Linked DNA regions of Caenorhabditis elegans. The protein of the gene in region 1 purifies or fractionates together with the protein of each later gene. This does not show direct contact. Each region holds a gene or a part of one and is shown on either strand. Other genes may lie near its edges. The genes, in order: vhp-1 and pmk-3.

Region 1 (5,108 bases):
GACGGACAACAAAACTACGAAATATAGAAATGGATCGAGAGATTCAGAGAACGCTGGCAAAATTAGTGACACAAACCAAAGCGTTCAAAGTGAAGAGGAAACAGAAAACAGGGAGAAGAAATGGGTGAACGTGACGTGGTTTTTCCTTCTCGTCGTGTGCTTCTCTAGACACTATGAACGAACACTAATCCATTCCTTGAATCTTTTTTCTCCTTCTGAAGACCTCGGCCATCTGTATTGAAATTGGACCCTCCAGCTGTCAGTGCCCTTTTATTGCGAAATTTTCGAAACATTCGGCGAATTGGATATTTCGAAAATTCTAAACAGTTTTAGACCACACATGTATAATGAAATAGCTCTAGAGAATTAAGAATTTTCTACAAAATTAGTCGAAAAAAACCTAGTGAATGAGAGAAAATACGGCAATTTTTTTGATTCTTGAATTTACAATTTGACAATTGTCAAGCATCTCTTAATTTTTCTCAATTTTTTAAAAATTAAGAAGCCATCAAAACATCATAATACATAACATTTCCAAAACCAAAAACTCAAGCGCTAAAATAGTATACGTATGAATTGGAAACTAATTTCTACTGCCTTAACAAAAGTTTGACACACCGAAATATTGCAGGTAGGCTATTCGGAACAAAAAATTAGAATGGAGAAGGTTTTTAACTGAGAATTTTGAAACATTCATATTCAAACAATTTAAATTTAAACAGCGTTTGAATTTTAATAAACATTTCAAGCTTCCATGAAGGCAGAAAAAGCTTACCTGCTTTTGGCAGCAGATAGTCATGGCAAAGTAGATCTGAAAAATTCTCAGACCACTGTTTCAGCTAAATAAAATATTTAAAAATTTACTTAAATTTTTTAAACGGAAAATTATTTGATCGAGCTGGGTAAAAAAGTTTTTACAACAAAAAACCTAAAAAACCTTCAGAATGTTTTTACACCCCTAGATAACCTTAAATTAATTAAAGTCAACAATTTTTGGCCAGGAAAAGAGTTGCTTTGTTCTAAAATAAAAACCACCGACAAGGAAAAATGGCAAAAATGAGAACGCATGGATCGACAACAGAGAGCATCGACTGATTGTATATATTTGCTCGATTCCACTCTAAAATCAACAATTTTTTTCATCTCTCTCACACAAAAATTCCATTCGTATTCACTATTTATAACTTTCCACATTCATAAACATTCACATTTCACCCTTTTTGATCTACAGTTTTTTACTCGTAAAAACATTGGACAAAAAAAGAGAAAAACAAGTTAAAAAGTCGACAGATGGATCTCTGTTGGGGAGTGAATTGAAAAGTTCGTTCGAATTATAAATGGAACAAATTTGAAAAAATAATTTCTGAAAAACAATTTGAAAATAATATTTAAAATTTAAAAAAATCCGATAATATTATGATTTCATATTTCCCATATTTATATTTTTGAAAACAGTTTTTCAAAATAAAAAACCCACTTTTAAAATTCAGATTACACTTTTGCAAGACTTTCAATCACGTCATTGTTTCTTTCGAAAAAATAGTTTCCTTTCTATTTAGCAAGAGAACTAAAAACCTGTTTTCTACAAAAAAGGGGTAATGAATGATGTGTGTAACGTCACTTTTGTTGTAGAAAAACACAATATTTAGGAAAAATTGCAAATTCCCGATGTTTACAGAACCTTTGAACTTTGAAATAGGTCATAAACAAATGAAGATAAGGAAAGAACAAATTGTTTCATAAATATTTTGGGGAAAAGGGTACAGAATGGAAAGCAAAGATTCAAAATGGGAACAAATTAAATTAATTGATTTAAAGGTACATCGGCAGTGAAAAAATATATGTGAATACTCAAATAATAGTCCAACATTATCAAATATCATATTAAATTAAAAACTCCAATAGTTTTTAAACTTTAAAAAATTTTCAGTTGGTAGATGGCCAAATTAACAGCAAAAAAAACGTTTCCAGAGCTATAGAGCAATTTTACAGGTTCCAGCTTCTAGAATGTTCAGATATCAGTTTTTAGAACTCAATTAAAACATGAAACTCGAGAACAATTTTTTGTTTGATTTTCAAAATTATGATACAAAAATTTTCTGAAAGTTTTACCAATTCGCAATTTTTCGGAAATTTTAGGAAATTGGGTGTAAAATGTACAAAACGGCTATTATTGAATTTCTGAAAGATAATTGGTGTTGTTTTTCTAGCTTATTATTTTTTAAAAATTATCATACTAATGTTTTTGGTAGTAATGAAGCTTTCATAATCTCGAACCTCTTTCTAACTTCTGAGTCATTTTCATTTTTCACACTTTTCCTTATAATAATTAGATTCCTTAAATGACATCAAAATATGATTTTGAAGTTCATGTGTTTGCACCGGTCAGCGACTCATACCTTTCTCCCTTATCACTGACATTTTCCAGAGCTCGGCAGAAAACACGCAGCTGATAAGAGACACTATGGAATTGATCATCTGTTCTCTGATATTATAACTTATAGAATACACTTAAAAAGTCTTAATCAATTGAAAAATCATGTTTACATTTGGGGTTATTCATCAAGTACCTACTGGGTACAATGTGCAAAGTTGCAAAAATCATTTAAACAGTGAATCAGAGGAGTGCAGTGTTTTTTGGAGCACTGACTTTTATAGAGTCTTCAAGAAAAACGTCATTATTTGTTTTTATGAGGTGTTCCGTTATCATTTCGCTTGACGACATTTGAATAAGAGCAAAAACTGGTCATAACCTTATACAGTAACCTTTACGGAATTTAAAACTAAATTGTAGTTACAAGGAAAAATTCATTGATACGAAAACAAAATATAGTTTACTAGTTAGATTAAATAAATACAGTTCGGAAAATGAAGAAAATAGATTGAAAATATGAAGATTAATGACATTTACAGTTATACATTTTTCCTAGTTGTGGAGCCTCATCGCCAAAAAACTACACATTTTTACCCATTTTGAAGATCCAATGTAAGTTTCTTGCTGATTGATCCCAAAAAGAGTGCAATCGGTGAAATTAAAAAATAGTGGCTAGATTAAAAATTAAAATCAATTAAAAAAATAACTTCATCACAATAGCTGTTAAAATATCTTTAAGAACACTTTGTAAATTCCTAATTTATAAATTTACCGTTTCAAAATAATAAAATAATAAAGCTCACCTTGAGCATTTTTTCAGTTTTGCTCAACTGATCGGCCGTGAGCTTTGACGACTCCAGCTTGAACTTTTGTTGTTTTAATTTTCAGAAAAAAAGTATTTTCGGACGTTAATCCAACTTGTCACAGGTTGCAATTGATTCCAAGTGTTGAGGATCGTTTGGGGCGCTTTTTTTTTGTCAATAACTGTATTTCAATTACAGAACCAAAAAGGAGATACTAATCTCCTTCTTTAGAGCAAAGACCCAGACGGTACGTCCATTCTGAATTAGGGGGAGGTAACCTGTAAGAATATAACGATGGGAAAGTGAAACGACACAAAAAAGTAGGAGAGAAAATTGAAAAAAAGATAGAAGAGGGGGCAATGACGTGCACTTGTCAACAGAAAAGACGTTGTTGGTTTTTGTATGTACAATAGGACATTAGAAGAAGAAATATTGAAAAACAGGTCGAAAAGAAAACAGATTGATCCAGAGAGTTTTGGGATTGGACATCTATAGAACAAGATAAGTAGATTACAAGGAAAGAAGATGGTTCAAAAATTAAATCCAGACATTTTTGGAAAGTACTGTATTCTCCCTATTAGTCGTGCACCTTCGTGCTCCTCTGACAACTTAGATCTAAGCTCTTGGAGCAATACCAAAAAATAGGCTTGCGATAGTTGAATAGCTAGGGTTTTTAAGATTAAGATTCCTTGCTTTTCGCGATTGCAATGTTCTTATGCAGTTTTTATAAGCTAGTTTTCATACAATTCATGATTGGTGACTTTAACAAAACCGAACTTGCCTGAATGCAAAATTGTAATTATAAATTTTAAGTTAATTCCCTGGTAGAACTGGTTTACAAGATCCTTGTTACTGTTCAGATCCCAACAAGGAAAATTTCTAAAATTTTGCCAAAAAAAGCCTATAGGTCTAATAAATCTAGAGATCACAATAATTAATGTGTATTAAAAATGAAGGGTATGTTATTTTGAAAGTCGTTGTTCATCTCACTTCTTCACAATTGCCTGCGTCATAGGGACACCAGAGAGGAGAGGCGCAGAGTTGTAGAGATACAAATATAGTATTGACCAATAAGAGGTGTAGACAAATCGACCTCAAAACAGTACCCAAAACAGTGGAGAGCGCCAGGAGAGATTGCTGCTGCTGGTGTGGAGAACCGGCCGCGCCGTTACGGTCTCTTTTGTCTCCCTTTCTCTGTACCCCCCCCCCCCCCTCTCTCTCTCTCTCTCTCTCTCTCTCTCTCTCTCTCTCTCTCTCTCTCTTTCATAGTTCTCTTTATAATTCATAGGTACCCTCTTACGAGTGCGCGTCGAACCGGCTGATCACTCACTATTTTTGTGTATAGTTTGTTGTATGACCGTCTCTTACTCTTTCTCTCTCTGTTCACAAATTTCTGTGCCTGTTTGCATCCAGGATCTTTTCACCACCACCACCGTCGTAAAAAATCAGCCCAAAAGCACTGTGGATTTCGCAATGCATGTGGTCAAACAGACAATCTCTTATCATATGCCATCAAAAATCAACGAAACCACAAGCAAAAAGTGACGATTGGAGGAAAATGGAATGATCCCCCCACTATCAGACAATCACTATTACAATTTGAATGAATTTGAAATGGTGTAGAAAACACGAAGATTTGAAAGAGAAGTTTGAACAGAAATAGATTTATATTAAAACTAAAAGTTTCGAAAACATTGGAATTCTAGAATCCTGTTTAGATCGCTCCGATGATTCAGAATTGGCAGAAAACATTTACACTAAACATTTAAATCTAAATAAACTAGGTTTACTTTCTCAGATATTCTTAAAATATCAAAATCGTTGTAAAAATTAACTACAACTGACTCGGAGTCCAACTGACTCGGAGTATAAATCTGCATCCGAACGCAATGAAATTTTTGAGCTCACTACAAACGCGGAGCCAAATCTAT
Region 2 (6,495 bases), on another chromosome or scaffold:
GATTTTTTTAAAGAATTCAAAAAAAAAAAAGGAATTCAAAAAAAAAATTTTGGAAGCCGACCAAAAAAAATCTCTCCTGACTTTCGTTATAAAATCATTTTTGTTCAAGTGATTAAAAAAATCTTAATTTTTTTTTCAAATAGTCCGCAAATTTGGAAATTTTCCAAAACTTTGACTAAAAATGATGAATAATCTAAAATTAACTCATTGGGTTTTTGTAATTTGCAAAATTTCTTTTAGCTCATTCTAGTATATTTAGACAATATTCACTACACTATAAAAAATCTTCTTCTGTAACTATACCTCATGATATCCTTCTGGAGTAATCTCAGGCGGGGCAGGACCAAAATCGGCAAAAAAGACACCGGGAATGCTGGCTGAATCGCCCATGGTCGCCGACATCCCCATCAACAAGACATCTAGAAAAAGTTTGAATTGAATTTGTAAATATAATTTTTACATTTTTGCACGAAAGTTTTAATATTTCGAAAAAGGGCAGACAATTGCCTACATAGGTATTCCAAAATAATAATTCAATCTTATTTCACATTTTTTAAATGTTTGAATTTTTCTGCTAATTGAATAAACGTTTTAAGCTGAAGTTCAGGATTAACTTTGTCAAGTCAAACTATGCTTTTTATATTAAAAAAATTCCAGAAATTTTCAGATAATCTCACTTTAAACATATAAGCTCGTGTAAAATATGAGTGACACGGATTAGAACCAATCTCTTTTTTATAAAACACTTCAAGCTTTTAAAACGAATTGTCAAAAGAAAATAAGTTTATTGAACTAATTAGTATGTGTAAGGGTGCAATGACAAGAATGACGAATATAAAAAAATATGATGGGATAAAAGCATGAGAGAAAAACGAGACAAAGAGATTCAGAGAAATGGAGAAGTAAAGAGAAAGAGAGAAGGAGACAGAGACATAAAAGGAAGAAGCTATAGAATGCAAGAAAATAAATACTCTGAAAGAATTTGAAAGAGAAGATGGAAAACATCATTATCACCTGTAAAGTGTTGCTATCACTGAACGACAAAGAGACGAGAAAGAGAGAGGGAAAAGAAGTAATACATTTCCGGAATTATATACAATTAATATAATTGAATGAAATCAGCGATCTGCTTCTCCAGGGATTAACGGTGATGAGCTGAGTCTTTTGTAGTTCATTATTTCCTTCCAGACGGCATCTGTAATAAAATATTTTTGCATTTGTTGTTTTTCAAATTTGCAGGTGTGCAGAATTCTATTACGTGATCTTTGAGCCTTACCTCTCCACTCGAATCTTGTTCTAGCTTGAGAGTCATCCAAGTCAAATATATGATCAGCTCTTGGTTCATCTTCTGGAAGTGAAAACTCTGCCAAATATGGATGTTGAATAGCTTCTTCCACCGTAATCCTCTTCTCTGGATCCAAAACTAAAAGCTTCTCAAGTAGATCAATAAAGTCTTCTGATGGATTATGAGCAGAAAATACATCACGGAAATTTCGACGTTTGTGAGTTGTGTAGGATTGAATTACGGCTTTAATTGCAGACGAGTTATCATTTTCAATCTTTGTCAAAAGTTCTTCATCAGGACTTCCACATAATTGAGTAATACGTTGATATTGAGCATTGGGCTCATCACCCGGAAACAGTGGTTCTCCAGTTAAAAGTTCTGCAGCAATACATCCAAGTGACCACATATCTGCCAGATTTGTGTAACTATCAATCTTCCAATAAATGACTTCTGGACTACGGTACCATCTTGTTTGTACATATTGTGTTAGAGAAGTATCTTTCTTTTCCAAGGATCTTGCAAGTCCAAAATCGAGAATCATGAGGTCAGAATCATCGGTCAACGCGAGATTTCCTGGTTTCAAGTCACGATGTATAATCTAAAAAATTTTAATAAATATATTTTCGTGTTTTAGTCATGTTCTTTTTGACTAATTATGGCCTAATCGTGCCTAATCCTCCTATATGAAATTTTATTTAATCTAAAATGCTGATATTTCTATTAAAAAAAAAAGAATGAGCAATGTTCTGTTCACTAACTCCATTGACTTACATTAGCAGAATGAATGTACTTAAGTGCACGTATGATTTGATAAATGATGAATTTGATATGCTCGTCGGTCAGCACGCGCCGTCCATAATCTCTTTGTTGCTTCAAGATCTGATAAAGACTACGACCCGCAAATTCAGTGACAACGTATCTGAAAATTATAGATTGTTTGTAAAACTTTTTTGTAATTACTTACACATCTCGAAAATCGTTTTCCTCGTCAGGTGTGTAGATGTCAAGAGCACAGATGATATTGTCATGTCTCATTAATTGAAGAAGTTTTGTTTCACGGAAGATGCGACGAGCCTGGAAGTTTAAGGTGTTCAAAGGATGTGATCGACCAAATATATTCTCAAAAATGGGTATAAAAACCAAATATCAGCTTTTTGAAATGTTCTTCTAAAGTTTTGGCAATTTTCCAACAAAAAAAAAGACGAAAACAGAAAACAAGATTAGTTTTAAAATTCTGGTTTTGCCCCAAAATTTTGAATCACCACTTCTTGACTGTACATAGAAAAAGTTCGAAAATTTTTAATACGATATTAGTTCATTTGAATTGTAAAAAATATGCTCTAGCTTCAATAAAAATGTATCTTTGTCTTACATGATGTGGATCAAAGAACGGTTCTCGCATCTTCTTTATTGCAACATAACGACGAAGCCCGTCACGGCACACTGCACTTGTTTTTCTGGAAAATATAATCATTCAAATAAAGCACACAAATACTGAAAAACATACATAACATTTCCAAACGAGCCTCCACCCAAATACTCAATGCTGTTTGGCTCGACGTCATAGCCTTCCGGAATTGCAAATGTAATGTTACGGATCATCACAAATTGGAATCGTCGTTTGTGTGGACCACATGGTTTTGAGAGAATATCCTGAAAATATAATGATGATTAAGATTTTGGAATACCTATGGTTGCAATATTGTCAACAATGTTTATTTCTGTAAAGCTAAATTTCTGAGGCATTACATAGCCAGTTTCCTATTTGGTTTGGTCTCTAGTACACGTGCCAATTTTATCATTTGGAAATAAGACGGCGCAATAATTTTGTGTTGCAATTTTTGTAGAAAAAACTTCTCAAAAAATGAGCTATGCGTGCGCGGGGTTAGATTCTTCTGAAAATGTCAATTCTAGTCAATTCTACAAATATTAAGCTAGTTTTGAAACTTTGACAATTATAAAAAAATTAATTATGGAATGTTTTATTTCCATCCTTTTTAGAGTATTAAGGTCGATTTCTTAGATTAAAGTCATACTGAAGCTTTACCTTTATCATTTTTATGATTCTCCGCATATCAACAAAACGCGCGGATTGACTTTCGTCAACTTACGAAATCTAAAATCTTTCTCCCTCACCTCTTCCTCCTCCCCAACCATCTCGTTGTTTCCCGTTGCTTCGATACTCTGCTTCTTAATATTCTCTGCAGCTAACTTTTTCTGTTGTTCCTGCTCTCGTTGTTGTTGCAACCAGGTGTTGGGTTCGTAGCTTTCTGGAGGTTGAGATTGATTATTACTTCGTTTGGTTGGTGGTGCACTTGGTGTTGACACGTCTTCATGACGACGGACATGCGACACTGGGAGACTAGATGACGATGGGACTGACGCCATCTGTAAATTTAAATGGGTTCAAGTTAGGGCTTGAAGTGAAAAAATCAATAACGAAAAGCGTTGTCGGGGGAAATTAGAGGAGTGTCGGGGATTTCAAAATGAAAGTTTTATTGCGAAACACGCCATGTAAACTCGAACACTCAAGCGACCTATATTTTTGCGGAGTGAAGTGTAAAAATTGTGAAACAATGATTTTTTTATTGTTTATGGTCACTACTTTGTTTTCTTTTGGAGGTTTTCGGATTCACTATAACTTTAGGAAATTCGATATTTTAGAAAATATTAGGAATTTTGAATTTATCAACAAAAAAATCAACTCAATCAATGAAGATTAAATAGAAGAATTTCCCATAGTTTTGGCAATTACTAACAATATCTATTTACATTTGAACTGTTAGTAATTGTTCTCTCGCAATTTTTGTAACGCGTACTTAAAGACACATGGATATTTTTGAATTGGGTCTCAAAGAGTCAGATTTAAATGTTATTCGTTTTTGTCTATTTTTGTGAAATTTTCAAAATATTTTTTCATTAATTGTGGAATGGAGGGATCATAAAAAATTCTCAGAACTTTTTCTGATGGCGAGACCCATAAGAGGAATTATGCAAAAAAGGTGCAAAACTACCATGAAATTATGTAAAAGATTCGGGTGCTCAATCAATTGTAATTAATAAAATCGGTGAAATACTTGTGAGCTCAGTTAAATTGAGATGAGCACTACAGTTTGTTTTATATTTTCTTGTTTATTTACTGAGTAGCGTCTCTTTGAATTTCGTAAAAAAGTGTACAGTGTTTGTTCGAATATGAGCAATATTTAGGTTCAAACAAAGTTAATTATAAAGGGTAAATAATATATTTCATTTCAATTTTAAATTATCAGAAAATTCGTCTTTTGTTCAGCGCTCCACTATTATGAAGTTTACCAAAAACAAAATATCTCACCTGTTATTATAATAAAGTTGTAGACTAGACGTTCCTGTATTGATTGATTTTGAGTATATGTTATGATAAAAATACTGGAGAAAACTGAAAAAAGACGGAAGTATAATTATCAGTGACCAAGGAAATTGGAAGAAACAGTGAGGTCAATCAGATATGAGTCAGCAGCGATTGAGACGCAGTGAAAAATGGGAAACGAGAGGAAGACATACAAAGGGCGAAGGTCGAATTTTTTATTTGGTTGATGGAAAATATTATTGTAGATAAATATTTTAAAATATCTACAAATTATTCATCTCCTTTTCGGTTGATCTTTGTGGATACAGAATTTTGAAATTAAAAAAAAACAATATAAATCTGGTTAACATCATAAAACAATGTCTATATTTGACTATTTTCTCTCCTTCTTGATCTTCCTGATCCTTTGCTTCGATTGGAGTTAGTTCGATGTAAAGGTCCCATTGATTTGGATCTTTTTTGACTTGAAGCTTCACTTGATTGTCTTCTACTTGCAACTGACGGCTGCCTTGATCCTAACCGATTTTCCATTATTGAATTCGTGTCAAGGAATCCAGATTGATATCTTCCAACGCTTGTAGCTCTTAGGGTATTATATGGACTTGCTACAAAAATGTTATTCGGAGATCGTCTATGAAGGGAAAGTGTGGAACATCCAGGAATTCTGAAATTATAGATTTACAGAATCTTGTTCCGGTTTGAATGAAGTTCTTACACTGGTGGATACAGTTTCTTTTCATCGTGTGGCTTAACTACATTAGACATTGCGTGTCGATTCTCAAGAACTGGGTACGCAGGTGGAGGTAGAGGTTGATATGGATCTTTCTCAAAGATCGGAGGTAGCGGCTGTAAACGTGTAACAACTAAAATGGGTACATTTTGATTTTGAATTGATACGCATTATTACCTACATTCTTCGTTCTAGTGAACTGTATCTAAGCCTTGTAAGGTTTCAAACACATTGCTGTTTCGGTTAATTTGGCAATTTACCAAAACTATGCCATTTTCAGAAATCTAAAATGTTTTAATAGTTTTTTTTAAATTATGGTACGATCATTTTGAGTTTGTTTAGACGTTAATTTGTTAGCTTTAATTGTTTATATTACTTTCATGAAATTTTCAAAGGTGTAGTCGCAACTTTTACAAGGACATGTGGGTTTCTAATTGAATTTGAATTTTCAATTAATCAAAAAGACTTACCACATAATGTGTTGTAATAGTCGTAAGCCTAGCAGGATCATTGTGCTTCTTTGTGTGGTGTAACGAGAGATCACAGAGCTTTGTTGTGCATAAAAAGTAGATTAATGAAATTATCAAAAACGAACATCCGAGTCCAAATAAAATAGGACCCGCAATTTGAATTGGTGGTGGTCGTATTCTTTGTTCGTATGGCCAAGTCCAGAATGGTGAAGTATAAAGGTATTTATATCCAAGAAGTGACATTAGTAGTCCTCCAATTAGGAGAAAAACGCCGAATGCTGTACAACAAATCAATGATGACGAGCCACGAAATTTTCTTTAAAAAATAATGCTTTTTTCAGGGTTTTTTTTTAAATTTTTGATAAAGTAACTTGATGTATATTTTCTGCGTCTCTGTTGAATTTTCGCGTTGAATATGATGTATTAGGACATACTCCATTAAATTATAATCTACGAGTTATTTAGTTGAGCTATTCAACCCTCATATTTCCAGCTTACAGTTTCAATTATCAAAAAACTAACGATGTTCTATATGGAAAAAATCCAAATGTTGCTGGATACAATATATCCCATCCTTTTGGATAATAATAGAAATATGGATCACGTTGAGCCATTGGTCCAAAATGAAGAACTCTTTGATTTCCAGTCCATTGTTGAGGATCAA

Evidence for each region.
Region 2: the proteins of vhp-1 (region 1) and pmk-3 purify together in Caenorhabditis elegans (affinity purification with western blotting, with the first as the bait; one study listed by BioGRID). This does not show direct contact.

Annotation. Positions count from the first base shown.
Region 1 is NC_003280.10:5,321,354-5,326,461, reverse strand, and holds the start of vhp-1 (protein-tyrosine-phosphatase), read right to left. Parts: upstream 3,187-5,108; coding exon 3,178-3,186; intron 1-3,177. UniProt on the Caenorhabditis elegans protein: Acts preferentially on the c-Jun N-terminal kinase (JNK) and p38 MAPKs. Plays an important role in the heavy metal stress response and in axon regeneration by negatively regulating the kgb-1 (JNK-like) and the pmk-1 (p38-type) MAPK signaling pathways.
Region 2 is NC_003282.8:8,137,424-8,143,918, reverse strand, and holds pmk-3 (Mitogen-activated protein kinase pmk-3), read right to left. Parts: upstream 4,701-6,495; 5' UTR 4,617-4,700; intron 3,674-4,616; coding exon 3,422-3,673; intron 2,939-3,421; coding exon 2,793-2,938; intron 2,743-2,792; coding exon 2,658-2,742; intron 2,360-2,657; coding exon 2,250-2,359; intron 2,205-2,249; coding exon 2,057-2,204; intron 1,884-2,056; coding exon 1,277-1,883; intron 1,196-1,276; coding exon 1,119-1,195; 3' UTR 768-1,118; downstream 1-767. Other genes in the region: Mitogen-activated protein kinase pmk-2, read right to left, coding at 304-408; islo-1 (Interactor with SLO-1), read right to left, coding at 4,995-5,295, 5,347-5,477, 5,832-6,147, 6,354-6,495. UniProt on the Caenorhabditis elegans protein: Responds to activation by environmental stress and pro-inflammatory cytokines by phosphorylating downstream targets. Involved in axon regeneration after injury, probably downstream of dlk-1 and mkk-4 and upstream of mak-2. May phosphorylate mak-2.